Linked DNA regions of Ovis aries. The protein of the gene in region 1 interacts with the protein of each later gene in a biochemical or structural test. Links are inferred from orthologs where the notes say so. Each region holds a gene or a part of one and is shown on either strand. Other genes may lie near its edges.

Region 1 (3,996 bases):
CAGGAATTTGGGCCTAGTAAATACGGATGGCTTCACAATACCATCATACAATTAACATGGGAAATTAATAGTTGATTTCTCCAGCAATTTAAGTTAAATGAAGGGTGACATTAATCAACTCGATTCCGATGGAGTTTTCTTTTTTTTCTCCTTCATTATTTTAATCAAAATTTTTTGTACTTAGTAGTTTAAAGATTAGGAATTCAAAATCATATTATTCTTGAGTTGGTCAAGCACTTATTGTTAATAGCAAAATATTGTTGTGTTTGATTTGTGGATAAATTGGCAGATCAGCATTGTCTCCAGAGAGTGACTGCGCATGAACTAGGCAAGAGATTGGGGGTCTCTCAGCAATGTACTGTGCCCAGAGGTAGACCGCGGTTTCTTCTCTTCCCGGGTCACGTCTGAAATGGCAGGATGTTGACATTGTACTAAAAGTAGGTTGAGAGTACGCGCTGTCCTTTCAGTGTCCAAGCCATCTTCCCGACACCTGACCCTGCAGCCCTGAAGGATCGCCGCATGGAGAACCTGGTGGCCTACGCTAAGAAAGTAGAAGGGGACATGTACGAGTCTGCCAACAGCAGGGTGGGTCAGCGTTCGCGTTCCAGCCGCATGGCCCCCGGGTGACCTGTGACTGCAGGTCTGGACGTGGGGAGGAGGGGGGCTTCCATCAGCCTGCTGGTCTCCTCGCCTGAGGACACTGACCAGGGAGATGTCCCAGCTAAGACTTGAGGTCCTCCCTGCATACCTCTCTTGGTTTGTAACTGCAAAATCTTAAAGTGTCCCCACTACAGGGGTAAATGAAGTTTTTCTAATTTGTGGGTATACTTTATAGTGGAGTGTTGTTATACTATGTTGTCACCTGTGTCAGTGAGTATGCAAGAAGAGGTTCAGCTGTGGAATGAACTGTCATGAGGACTTAGTACCCCCTGACTGTTAAGTCACATAGCATCCCTGGGCTTTGGTTTATGAGTTAGAAGTGCTGAATACTTTACCCAGTGTAAATAATTTTAATTTAAAAGTTCATTAGTTTGTTAGACCCTACAAAACCAGATCAGTTGTTTGTTTGCAAATAACTAGTATTGAATGTTGCTGCTTTTTAGGATGAATACTATCACTTACTAGCAGAGAAAATCTACAAGATTCAAAAAGAGCTAGAAGAAAAGCGGAGATCACGTTTACACAAACAAGGCATCTTGGGTAACCAGCCAGCCTTACCAGCCCCCGGGACACAGCCGCCTGGAATACCCCAGGCGCAGCCTGTGAGACCTCCGAGTAAGACTGCATGTCCCGCCCCGGTCTGTCCCCTCTGTGTCTTTCCGCGTTTGGTGTGCGTTTCTCAGCACACAGAGTTACATTCCCAGGAAACCTGTTGCTTTGAAAGCATGTGGTAGTGGCTGTGTGCTGTGGTGGCCTATGTTTAGACGTTGAGTCTCACAGAAAGGCCCTTTAAAGGGTGTGCTGGCATCAGAGTGCACAGCACTTTTGGATCTGCTCTTCTCTTTAAATCTAAAGGATTATTTTAAGTAACCTCCTTTTTTTTTCTGCCATTGTAGATGGGCCCATGCCTCTTCCAGTGAATCGTATGCAGGTTTCTCAAGGTATTTAACTGTTGTTGTAAATCATATTTTAGCTTAACATTCTGCCACACAAAGTTTATTGGTTTGTCCTCTTCCCTGTGTATTTCTTTCTCTCCATTTTTCCTTCAGTTTTTCTTTTCTAATTGCTTCCCCCACCCCCCTACCCCAGTGATGAGCATGGTGCATGTCCACAGGTAGTATGAACATCTGTTGCATTTGGAAGTTTGGAAATCACAGCAAAGCTCTCCAAGGAGATCAGAAGTAGGCGTTCACTTTTTTTTTTTTTTTTTTTTTGATGGACAAGAGGAAACATTTCTCTTGGAAGAGTCTCAAAAAAAAAAAAAAGCATTGTAGGAGGGGGAAAGAAGCATTTCTGAGCATTTGTAAGTAGGGTGTCAGGCCTATCCTAAAGCCCGAGCACCCTGATTAGGGGGGTGGGAGGGACGGGTGAGGCTGCTCTGGGCTACTGAGCACAGGCGCCATGCCTACCAGGCTCGCCGAGGAGGGCCTGTGCTCCTGGCAACTAGTCTGAGCAGCTTCCAGAGGTTCTTTCTCAAGTTGAGAGTCTTTGGTCGTGGTTGAAGCAGTCATTTGAGTTTGGGGGTGAGGGTCATTTCAGAGTTTTTACAGCTCTTGGCAGGTTGAGACCTGAACAGTAGGATGTTTCTGCTGATTGTGAAATGAGATGGTGACATTATCCAGCAGATTCCAAAGCAGGGCCTTGCTGCTGTGTGTGGAGTAGTTCAGGGAGAGAGTGGTCATTCTAACAGCTGTGGTGATCGTCCTTCACACCACACCAGACCTGGTGGAGCTGCTGATGATACTGCGGAGGAAAGTTTTCAGGGACTTGTTCAGATGAACCAGATGTGAAGAGTGAAAGAAATCAAGAAGGCAGAGAAATTGAGCCTTCGGAGGGGCAGGGTGCTGTATCAGGGACAGGGTGGACGAGTCTGCTGCTCTGGGGTCTGAGAAGGGGGCTGTTGAGCAGAGTGTGGACGGAGGAGCCTTTGAAGGAAGCGCTTGCATGCCCCTGTCAGCGGCACGTCCAGGTCTGTGGAGAGGAACTTGTTACGGTGCCGCTTCTTCGTGCATCTTTTTCGCTTGCTCAGTAAAATCTCCTCTTGTCAATAAAACCCTCCAGAAGAGCAGGGCCCTTTGTTCTGTGGGCTTCCTGGAAAGTCCTAGTTACTCAGGGGGACATTTCTCACTGGTGCTGAGGGGACCGGTGCTCTGTGATGCCCTCTCCTGCTCCACAGTTAAGGCTGTGCCTCAGGATTCTGTTCACGGCCACAGGACTGGGCTAAGTCCTGAGACTTACTGAAGCAGCATTTACATTGAGCTCAGAGTTCACAGAGGATTGTGGGAAATTACAGGCAGAGAGGCTCCGTGGCCCAGAGTCGGGTAGCGGCTGGGGAGGGTTGCAGTTCACGGTGTGGCACCCCTGGGAAGGCCGAGGCAGCCATGAAAGTGAGACCTTTCCAGTCGGCAGAGAGGAGGCTGAAGCTGAGAACCGCCAGCCCTTGGGCACTTTCTAAATGCTTAATGTCCTTGCAAAATTAAAGCCAAGTTTTGAGTCTTATCCCAGATTCTAACAATAAATGTAAGCCCAGCCAAAGAGCTGGAGGGCCTGGGGTGATGGGAGCGGGCTTCCTGCCGGGAGTCAGGTGGTCCAGAAGGCTCTGAGGGGTTGGCTCAGAGGGTGCCCTGGCCTCAGCAGGCCTCCTCCATGCGTGGTGGGTGCTCCTTCCCACCGCCCCACCCACCCATCTGCCCCGTCACTCGGACCCTGGGATGCTCTGGCGCCGAGTGCTGCCTTGGCTTCAGCTGCTCGCAGCTTCCCTGACGCGCCACCTTCCTCTCCTCACGCTGCCCTGCCTGCTCCCCACCCACCGCCTCCCCACCCCATGGTGGTGCCGTTGTTCCTGGATCTGAGCAGTCTGTTGCTCAGCCATCTTTTCTGATTGACTGGTCTCCTTTCAGTTGTGTATGTAGTGTGTGTGTTCCATCTTATTTGGCTTCAAGTTTCTCTAGCAAATCGTCATTCTGTTTTCCTGTGGGTGCTTTTCCTAATGAACTGTTGTGGGTACGTTTACAGGGATGAATTCATTTAACCCAATATCCTTGGGGAACGTACAGTTGCCACAAGCGCCCATGGGACCGCGTGCGGCATCCCCCATGAACCACTCTGTCCCGATGAACAGCATGGGCTCTGTTCCAGGGGTAAGTGCTTGTCCTCCGCTCAGCTGTGCTGAGACGGGCTTGCTGCAACAGGACAGTTCTCCCGCGGGAGCTTGGAGGTTGGGAATCCTGTGGCGCTTGTTCCTTTGGATAGTGTTGTGCTTTGGCAACTCCATCTCGCCCTCTGGTCCTTATTACTACAAGCATTATTTGACCGTCACTTATTTTTACTGAAATG
Region 2 (4,497 bases), on another chromosome or scaffold:
CTGTAAGCGACAAACGCACAGGGTCGGCAGGGGCCGGGCCGGGCCAGACCACCTCTGCCGCCTGCGCCCTTGGGCCAGCCCGGCCCGCCCCGACGGCGCCCTTCTCACCTAGGTCGCCTCCACCCTGAGAGGCCCAGCCGCGGCGATCGAAGGCGCCTGCCTCGAGGCCGCGCCGTCGAGGGGGTGTACTGCAGAGCTCCCCGCCTCAACCCCGGCTACCTCCCTCTGTCTCAGTGCTTTACCCATAAAAGCAGAGTGGAGAAAACCTTCCCTGTTCCTTTCCTGCCCAGCCCTCCGGATTCGTGGGGTTAGCCGGCAGCAAACCGGGCTCACGTCAGGAGCCGGGGTCTAACGGTAGACACCCAGCCGTGGGAGCTTGGGAGAGGGAGGTGTTCATTTTCGAAAGCTTGAGACCCCAGACTCTTTGTGCCTTGGCCGCTGGCTCCTGTCAGCCCGCTGAGGGCACCGGCTCGGCCCATTTAGAACCCCGTCTGGAGCCGCGCGCCCTCCCACCTGCCTAGCCTGGAGAGCGGGCCAGGCCCGGGGCCTGAGCGCGTCCCAGCAGGGCACCCTCCCTCCCGGCCAGGCCGCGCCCCTCCGACCTCTGCTCATCCCGGCTCTCTTAGCTGGGGGGACGCCTGCCTCCGCGCTCTCCCGCGCCGGAGCAGAGCGGCCAATTGGCCGCATCTGGCAAACGCCAAATACTAGTTCCTGCCCTCAGGACTCCAGGGCTACCGAGTCCCTCTTCTTGGACCCCTCAGCTCAACCAGGGCAGACTCCCCAGCTCCTACACCCGACTCCTTGGCGCCACTGCCCGGCCGCCCACCTCTGATGCCCAGCGCGCAGCCGGCGGGCGCCGCGCCTTCCCGGCGGGTCTTCCCCGCGCCTCCTGCGCTCAACCCGCGGCCCCGCGGTGGGGCGGCCTCACTTACTGGCGGGGAAGCGCGGGTCTGGGTTGGCGCCGTACCATCCGGGGCCCGAGGCGCTGTTCCGCATGGTGTCCTGGTACGGCGGCAGCTCGCTCATGTTGCCCAGGTTGCCGTTGCAGTAGCCCCCCACGGCGGAGTGCGAGAGCTGGGGCACCCCCGCCGCCGTCATGTGGTAGGCGGCGGTGACTGCGCCGTGGTGCCCCACGGCGTGCTGCTGCATGGCCGCGGCCGGCGGTGCCGCCTGGCCCTGCCTGTAAGCCGCCAGCGGAGCCCCGAGGCCGCCGCCCTCCATGCCCACTTTCTTGTAGCTTTCCTCCAGGGGACTCAAGATGTCAGACACTGAGAACGGAGTCGTGTGCTTTGGACTCATCGACATGATTCGGCGGCGGCTGGAGGAGGAAGGAAGAGGAGGAAAAAAAAGGGAGAGGGGGAAGGCGAAGCCTCGCTGCTTTTTTTTTTTTTTTCTCCCTTTGCCAAATATTCTGGTGTTACCTTAACGCCGATCTTGTTGGATGTACACGTAACCGAGTGGACCGAGTCCGCCTTAATTGGCTTGAGTGGAGGCTCGGGGGCTGCCTCGCGTTTGTTTTAGCCCGGCGCCAGGTTTTAGGCAGCCACCAGAGGCGGGGCGTAAGCGCTAAAGCAACAAGACAATAGAAGCCTACATCTTGCCCGAGATAATTAGCTTACATGCTGATGACAAGGTAAACACCTTTAAGTTTCACTTGTCAGGATTTTTAGGTCTCAAAGAGGGAGAGAGAGAGACAGAGAGAGAGAGAGGCAGAGACGCGACCCAAAGCATTTCTCCCCCGGACCCCCTACCCTCATTTTTGTGGGGTACGCTGGCGCGCGGGAGGGGGGGGTGCGGAGTCGGGGGGAGGAAAAGGAGGAGGGAACCGAGAGAGGGGAGGGCAAGAGGTGGGATGGGGAGTAGCCGAGGAGGAGGGCTGCTGGGGAGGAAGGAAGGTGAATGCTGCTTTGCAACCAACTTGCGGAGTTACAAAGTGAACCACTTTCCCATTCGGTCGGGGCTCCCGGGGCGGGGACAGGGAGTGGGCCGAGGACGGGGTGGGGGTTTCACCTGAGCCTGCTGGGGCCGCTCCTCCCTCCCGCCGCGGCCTCCCAGCCCCGCGCCTTCCCACTGCCTCCGGACCACATCTGGCTTCGCGGCGCCGAGCCCCAGTCGCCACCAAAGGAGCTCGGGAGTCAGGGGCCGCACCCCGGGGCCGCACTGTTGGTCTGCTTGTCTGTCAGTCTGTCTGCCTCTTCTGCCTCCGTCAGAAGGACACCTCTGCTCCCCGCCCCCTTTCCCCCCTACCCGAGAGAGAATCCCCGCGGGTGGAGGGGGCGCTGAGCAAGGGGGGATCGGCTGCCGCCGACAGGCTGTCCCAGATCCCCGCGCCCCCCCTTCCCTCCAGCTCAGGGTCTTCTCAGAGGCCCAGGGCCTTCGGCCTCATGCCCACCCCGCCCCCCAACCCCCACACGGCTATGCTTCCCCACCCCCACCCCCAGCTAAGGCAAGGACCCACCACTGGCCGCCCGAGCTGAGAAGCTGCGGGAATTCATGCGAAGGGACGTCGCTGAAGTCGCTCCACCTCGAACAAACCTGGTGTCCCCGACCCTCGCCCATCGTCCAGACACGGGGAGGTCTGGGACGGGAGGTGACTTTCCGAGGACATCACAGCCCAGCACCCCAGCCCGGGGTCACACTGTTTTTCCCCCTCAGTGCTTCAGGGAGGCCTTGGGCAGGGAGCGGCGTGAGAACCGGCTCGCCTGTTGCCGGGTGGGACTGAGCCTGAACCCCGGCTGGACTAGCCGGCCGGGAGGGGGCGAATCCCCTGGCGTGAGCAGCCCAGCTGGCGGGAGGCTGGGCTGAGGCTTGCCTCCACCCGGAGCTCAGCCATGCAAAAGTGCACTTGCTTCCCGGGAATAACCAAATATCTTTGTTTAAAGTGGCGGCGTAAATGGCCAGTCGCTTTGTGGCCACGCTGGATATTAGTAGATGAGGATCATTCTGTTTCAATTGGGCGCCTCTCAGCCGGCTAGCAAGAAACTGCTTAGGAGGAAGTGGGTTTCCTGTCTGCGCGTTCCCAGGCTTCAAGTGTGAGCCCCGCGCCTTGAGGGTCCTTGGGCGCCTGGAGAGGAGGAGCTGTAGGCTGCGCTTTCCGAGCGGGCGGGCGGGCCGGAGGAATCCGCCGCGCGGCTCCGGCCAGGCCCCGGCCTCCAGCAGAGTGGACCACGGAGCCGAGCCCTCCGCTGTGCAGATCCTGAGACCCGCTCCGACTTTTCCTCTTGGATTTTAAACGTTTTGTTTTTATTCTGTTTTCTTTTCTCCTTGGCTGTTTCAGCCTCCTTCTCCGCGCTAGGGGTTGGGAGGGCGGAGCGCTCCCTGGTCGGGCAGGGGCCGTCAAGACACTGCGGGGGCCGGTTAAGGAGGCTTCTCGATTTGGGTTTTTGTTTTCATATTTTCGTTTCCTTCCTTGTAGAGGAGCTCCTGATGATGAAAAGGCGCTTTTGAACGATTTAATTCAGCAGGTTAGATGCCTTTTCCATTAATAGCAATTGTACTAAGGAAACTTGTTTATTGGCTTTTTATTTCAAGATTTCAATCCTCCCCTTTAGAACTGCACTCCCTCAATACAAAGCCAACTTACATGCTAACATTCAGTTTCCTCGCCACCTTATTTAAGTGGGGAGAGAAAGCTCAGGGCACCCCATCTCCTGCCTACTGCACAGGGCCATATTTCCCAGCCCCCTTGGCTGCTTTGGGGCAGGCAAGCAGGAGTTTGAGGGTCGAGACAGCACTCTTCAGTTATGCTTCGAAAGACGGGTGCCAGATCGGCTCATTGCCTTTCCCACCAGGAGACTTCTCTGGGGGGCGCTCTCAAGAAGGACTCAGACTCCCATCGAGGGTGCCTTGGTCAAAGTGATGCCTAAGTCCAGGGAGCAAGGAGGGAAGAGGATGACGCTGGATCCAAGTGAAAGGACAGAGGACAATACTGTAGAGAGCAGACAAAACTGAATATAGGTCTTGTGTGCAGGCCAGCCCCCAGCCCTGGGCCTGCGCCTCAACTAGGGTCTTTATGCCAAGGTGGGAAGGGTCTCCGAGTCTCGAGTCTTCTCCCTCTCCATTACTTTATATTATTACTAAATGTAAGAAACACTAGGTGTAGACGTTGTAGTCTCTCCTGGTTTCAATGCCATTTAGAAATGGAGGTCATTCTTCACCAGGTTTTTGTAAGGTCCAAGTAAGACAGGGTGCATGAAAGTACTAGCGGGGTGAATCTTCCGCAGTCCTTGAGCCATGCCTCCTCGGCCTTCGTCCCCTCGCAGCTTTCAGCTCCGGAGCAGGCACGTGGCTGACAGTTCCCCGCCCCCACCCCAAGCTTACTGTAGGGAAAGGACTCGGAGCCACTTAGGTAGCTGGCTAGCGTTGGGTTCAGGCACTGAGCGGAGCGGGAGCGGGAGCTCGAGGGAGGGAGTGGAGGGTAAGGGTCCCTGTCCCCCGCCCCCTCCCTGCCGCAGCCGGGATTGGGCTGCGCGCGCTAGCACCAGTTCTTGTCTCGAC
Region 3 (4,619 bases), on another chromosome or scaffold:
CTGTCCATGGGATACTCCAGGCAAGAATAGTGGAGTGGGTTGCCATGCCCTCCTCCAGGGAGTCTTCCCCACCCAGGGATTGAACCCGAGTCTCTTATGTCTCCTGCACTGGCAGGCAGGTTCTTTACCACTGGCGCCTAGGGTGAGGCCGGTGAGGCGCCCAGATCATGAAATTTAAGAAGGCTTTCACTCTCGGGGATGGCCTGAATCTACACCCAGAACCGACGTCTGCGACCTCTGTACCTCTTCTGTACCTGCTGGCACCAGGCTCCTTTTCATTTCCCGGGCACAAGTCGCGCTGTCTATGCTGCTGGCCCTGCTTCCGGTGTCCTCACGTCCTGCCCCAGTGTACTAATGCCCTCCCAGTTTTTGTCCTTTGGCACTGCTCCCTGTGTTCCAGGCTCTTTACTGTACCAGGGGACCCTCCAGCTGCTCTTCAATCCTGTTGTTGGCCTTGATCCTTGAGCCCCGAAATCCAATTCGTGTTCCACGCCCTGTCCCGGGTAATTACTTCTTTCCCTCAGCTAGACTTGGCCCCTCCTCCCTATGTTCCTGGATAGGTCTGTACACGTGGCCCCATCACCCCTAGGCACAGGCCTCCTTCCTCCTCCTCCTGGCCCTCTATTCCATGTCCCAGCCCTTCTTTGGCTCCTTGGGTCCCCAGCTTTTCCTCCTGTGCCCACCCTCCTCTGTTTCCAAGCTATTTATCTTCAGACTCCAGGAACTGCCTCTGCATCTGGGCCCCTCAAACTAAACCTCCTGAGCTCCAGCACGCCCCCTACAGTCTGGCTAAGCCACTCCCTCTTTATATTCCTGGCTACGGCCCCTGAAAGGCTTCCCAGATGAAAAGTAAGTCGCACACTATTTGTCTTTGCGGTCCCCTGGACTGTAGCTTGCCCAGCTCCTCTGTCCATGGAATTCTCCAGGCAGGAGTATTGGAGTGGGTTGTCATTTCTTTCTCCAGGGGATCTTCCCGAGCCAGGGATCGAACCCGGGTCTCTGCACTGCAGGCAGATTCTTTACCAACCGAGCCCCAGGCTGCGCAGTGGTAAAGAATCCGCCTGCGGATGCAGGAGACGCAGGAAAGGCGAGTTCGATCCCTGGATCTGGGAGACACCCCCCCCCCCCCGCCCCACGGCAGAGAGTACAGTCCATTGGGTGGCAAAGAGTCGGACACGTCTGAGCACGGCGGTCCCTGAACCCCTTACTCCCACTTGCCCCAAACCTGAACCCTGCGTCTTTGGCCCTGTCCTTGGTATTCCGCCTTTCTCGCCCGCGGCCCCTCCTCTAGCCCCGCCCCTACACAGCTTGCCGGGCTCTCTGCTTTTCGGCACTTCCTTGGTCCAGGTCTTAGCCGTTGGTTTCCTGAAATGTTTTCCGAGTTCTCTCTCTGTCCCCACCCGCCTTCCCCTTTGCTCTTCGGCTGACTCCTGAAGTTCCAAGCATCCCAGCTCCCTCGGCGTAGCCCTTTGCTTCGACTTTGCTTTAGCCCTTCCCCTTGCTCCAGTTTCTAGCTCCTCGACAGCTCCCAGCTCCCAAGGCCCCGCCCAGCCCGCCCAGCCCCTGCACCGGGGCCCGCCCCCTCACCTGTGTGCGTGCGTAGATGCGCCTTCAGGTGCGAGCTCTTGGTGTAGCTCTTGCCGCATCCCGGGTGCGTGCACGTGTGCGCAGCCTGCCTCTTGCGTGCCCAAGATCGCCGGCTGCGCTTGGATGGGGCGGCCTCCGCGGTCCCTCCTGGGTCTCCTGTAGTCCCCCCGAGTCCTGCACCCGTCGTCCCGGGCCCTAGACAACTCAGGAAGGAGTGGGGCGAGGCGGGGCCAGGTGCCGGCGCCTGGAGCCCGCGGAAGAGCTGGAAATGCCCTTGGTACTGCGGCATCGGGTACAGCGCGGGGTACCCGGACAGCAGCCCGTAGGGGGCGCCCGGCGCTGCAGACACTGAAAGCCCGGTCCTCGGGAAGTAGCTGCCGGAGGAACCCGCGCCCGGTCCCGGGTACAACGGCTGCAACGGCAGCGCTTTGGGCTCGGGGGTCGGGATCAGGGATGGGCCCACGAAGGTATCGGGAGCCGGGGTTCGTGGGGCCGGGCGCGCCCAGCCCAGGTGCTCCTCAGGGCCCAAGAGCCCAGCCACCAGCCCCGGGCCGTCCGCATACGCGCCCAGAGTCTCGGGCGGCGGTGGGAATTGCGCTCCGGAACCCTCTCCGGGCGCCAGAGCGCAAGGCTGAGGCGCGCAGGTCTGGGGCGCACCGCCGGGCTCTGAGCACGGGAAGTTGGTGAAGAGGAGATCCAGGTCCCAGGGGGTAGCTGCGTCCCTGTCATCATCTTCGTCCTCCCCAGGTGCGTTCTCCAGCTCAGGCCTCACGTGGAGGGGTGGTCCAGTATGGTTGGGGGGGCCCGGGCCCAAGTCCTGCACGTCTTCAGAGCGCCACCACTGGGGGAAGGAGCCGGTAACATGGAGCTTCAGCGGACACCAAGGTATCCTGTCCATAGACGGTGGGGGCCGGATGCCCTGATGGGGGCAGGCTGGCCAGAGGCTCCGTAAAGGGGTCTTGTTTGCTTCTCTGTCATGCCAGTTTGTCCCACTCCCTCACACTTGTCCGTCTCCCCCCCTCAGCCCCCCCAGCTCCAGAGACGTCTATCGGGTCAGGCTGGAGACAGGAGATAAAGCTTATATTATCTAGAGTCTCCTGCCACGCTCAGGCATGGGGGAAGGGTTGGCAGAACCAAGAATGGAAGGCTAGGGGAGGCTCAGCCTTGCCTCAGTTTCCCCCAAGAATCTTCCTCCCCTTCCAGGTCCCCTAACAAGATTAATTCCTGGGTGTCCCCTCACCACAGCTGTCATTTCCCTCTTATATCTGGGAGTGTCTCACTGAGCCTAGATCCCTGTGTTCTGTTCCCAGCCTCAGTCTCCCATGACAGAAATAGGACCTTAGACCAAGTTCAGATCCCTGGCCTGCACTGAGGACTCCCGGTCCTGAGCAGGGCAAGATGTGAATTCCAGGGCAAGATGCAGACCCGGCCCCCCAATTCTGTGGCCAGGACCCAGAACCCCTGCCGGCCCATCTAGACCCCCACCTGACCCCACCTTGAGGATGTCTTCTTGTGTGTCCGAGAAGGGGCCCAGGGCGGTCAGCGTGCTGATGGAGGGCAAGGCGGTCTCCGCTGCAGCCATGGCTGGCTGGTGCCCACCCTGGGGCTCAGGCCTCCTCTCCCTTGGCGGCCTCGTGGGCTCTGAGGCTCTGATGGCCCCTTGAAGGGCTCCTCTCTGCCCTCAGCTGATTGGCTGCAGCCCCTGATAAGGGCCAGGCGAAGGCGGGGGTCACCGTTTCTGGGGAACAGACTTCACCCAGGCCTGTTCAGGGCTGAGTCTTGAAGACTGACCGTGTATCTGAAGCCAATCAGATGTTCAGGGTCTAAGGGTTCAGGGGATAGGGGTTCAGGAGACGGGGGTTCAGGGGTTGGGCAGAGTGAGGCAATGTGTTCCCAAAGAAGGAGAAACTTGGAGGCCTGTTCTCAGCTACCTTCCTGGAGAAGAGGTGATGGGCACAATGGGGATTCTAGGAAGGAGCTTCAAGACCCCCTTGCCCCTGACCAGGGCCTTGCAGCTCTCCCCTTCACCATAAACAGCAGCTACCATGCTGATGGCGGGACTTGGCATGAACTCCCTGCCAAGTCAAGCATTATCAGACTCCCCAGACGTTGGAGGCTGCTATCAGGTGGGGGCCCAGAACAGCCAAGGCTCTGTCCCTGGTGAGTGGGAGGGCCAGGGGCTGGGGATTAACTTGGTTTTCAATTTCCTGGGTTGTGAGCTCCCCAGGTCTGAGACCAGTGGCAGGAGAGGCCCCTGCCAATCAGTGGTCACTGTTTACCGTGGACAGCCCTCACCCCACCTCAGGCGACTTGCAGGGGGAATGGGGAGGCTGAGGCTGGAGCAACTACAACTGCTCTAGATGGGGCGGCGGGGTTTGGGACGAGGAGGCCACCTACTCGCCTGGGGGGGATGGGACTGTTGCATCAGGCCATAGGAAGTACTTGATTGGGAGGTGACCCAATTACTACTTCCCTTGTGGCTCAGCTGGTGAAAAATCTGCCTGCAATGCAGGAGACCTGGGTTTGATCCCTGGGTTGGGAAGATCCCCTGGAGAAGGGAAGGGCTACCCACTCCAGTATTCTGGCCTGGAGAATTCCATGGACTGTATAGTCCATGGGGTTGCAAAGAATTAGACGTGACTGAGCAACTTTCACTTTCTACCTCACAGTGGGGAGAGATCTAGGTTCTGCAACAGAGACTTCCACCATGGTGCCCAGGGATTCCAGGTGATGACACAGACATATAGTTCACAGTCGCACACAGACATTATGCAATTGTATAATGACACAAATTCCTAAAGGAAATCAGTCCTGGGTGTTCATTGGAAGGACTGATGCTGAAGCTGAAACTCCAGTACTTTGGCCATCTCATGAGAAGAGCTGACTCATTGGAAAAGACCCTGATGCTGGGAGGGATTGAGGGCAGGAGGAGAAGGGGACGACAGAGGATGAGATGGCTGGATGGCATCACCGACTCAATGGACATGAGTTTGAGTGAACTCCGGGAGTCGGTGATGGACAGGGAGGCCTGG

What was found. The genes of interacting proteins can lie anywhere in the genome.
Region 2: the proteins of CREBBP (region 1) and NKX2-1 form a complex in vitro, tested with the Homo sapiens proteins (2 studies listed by BioGRID, with this or other methods). The link is inferred for Ovis aries from reciprocal best matches to the Homo sapiens genes CREBBP and NKX2-1.
Region 3: the proteins of CREBBP (region 1) and KLF1 form a complex in vitro, tested with the Homo sapiens proteins (2 studies listed by BioGRID and IntAct, with this or other methods). The link is inferred for Ovis aries from reciprocal best matches to the Homo sapiens genes CREBBP and KLF1.

The regions. Positions count from the first base shown.
Region 1 is NC_056077.1:3,652,777-3,656,772, reverse strand, and holds part of CREBBP (CREB-binding protein), read left to right. Parts: intron 1-467; coding exon 468-585; intron 586-1,103; coding exon 1,104-1,275; intron 1,276-1,556; coding exon 1,557-1,601; intron 1,602-3,675; coding exon 3,676-3,800; intron 3,801-3,996. UniProt on the Homo sapiens protein: Acetylates histones, giving a specific tag for transcriptional activation. Mediates acetylation of histone H3 at 'Lys-18' and 'Lys-27' (H3K18ac and H3K27ac, respectively).
Region 2 is NC_056071.1:44,440,487-44,444,983, forward strand, and holds the start of NKX2-1 (homeobox protein Nkx-2.1), read right to left. Parts: upstream 3,231-4,497; 5' UTR 2,560-3,230; coding exon 2,459-2,559; intron 2,187-2,458; exon of another isoform or gene 2,088-2,186; coding exon of another isoform or gene 2,011-2,087; intron 1,511-2,010; exon of another isoform or gene 1,422-1,510; intron 1,319-1,421; coding exon 933-1,318; intron 1-932. UniProt on the Homo sapiens protein: Transcription factor that binds and activates the promoter of thyroid specific genes such as thyroglobulin, thyroperoxidase, and thyrotropin receptor. Crucial in the maintenance of the thyroid differentiation phenotype.
Region 3 is NC_056058.1:10,971,876-10,976,494, reverse strand, and holds the start of KLF1 (Krueppel-like factor 1), read right to left. Parts: upstream 3,231-4,619; 5' UTR 3,170-3,230; coding exon 3,083-3,169; intron 2,429-3,082; coding exon 1,588-2,428; intron 1-1,587. UniProt on the Homo sapiens protein: Transcription regulator of erythrocyte development that probably serves as a general switch factor during erythropoiesis. Is a dual regulator of fetal-to-adult globin switching.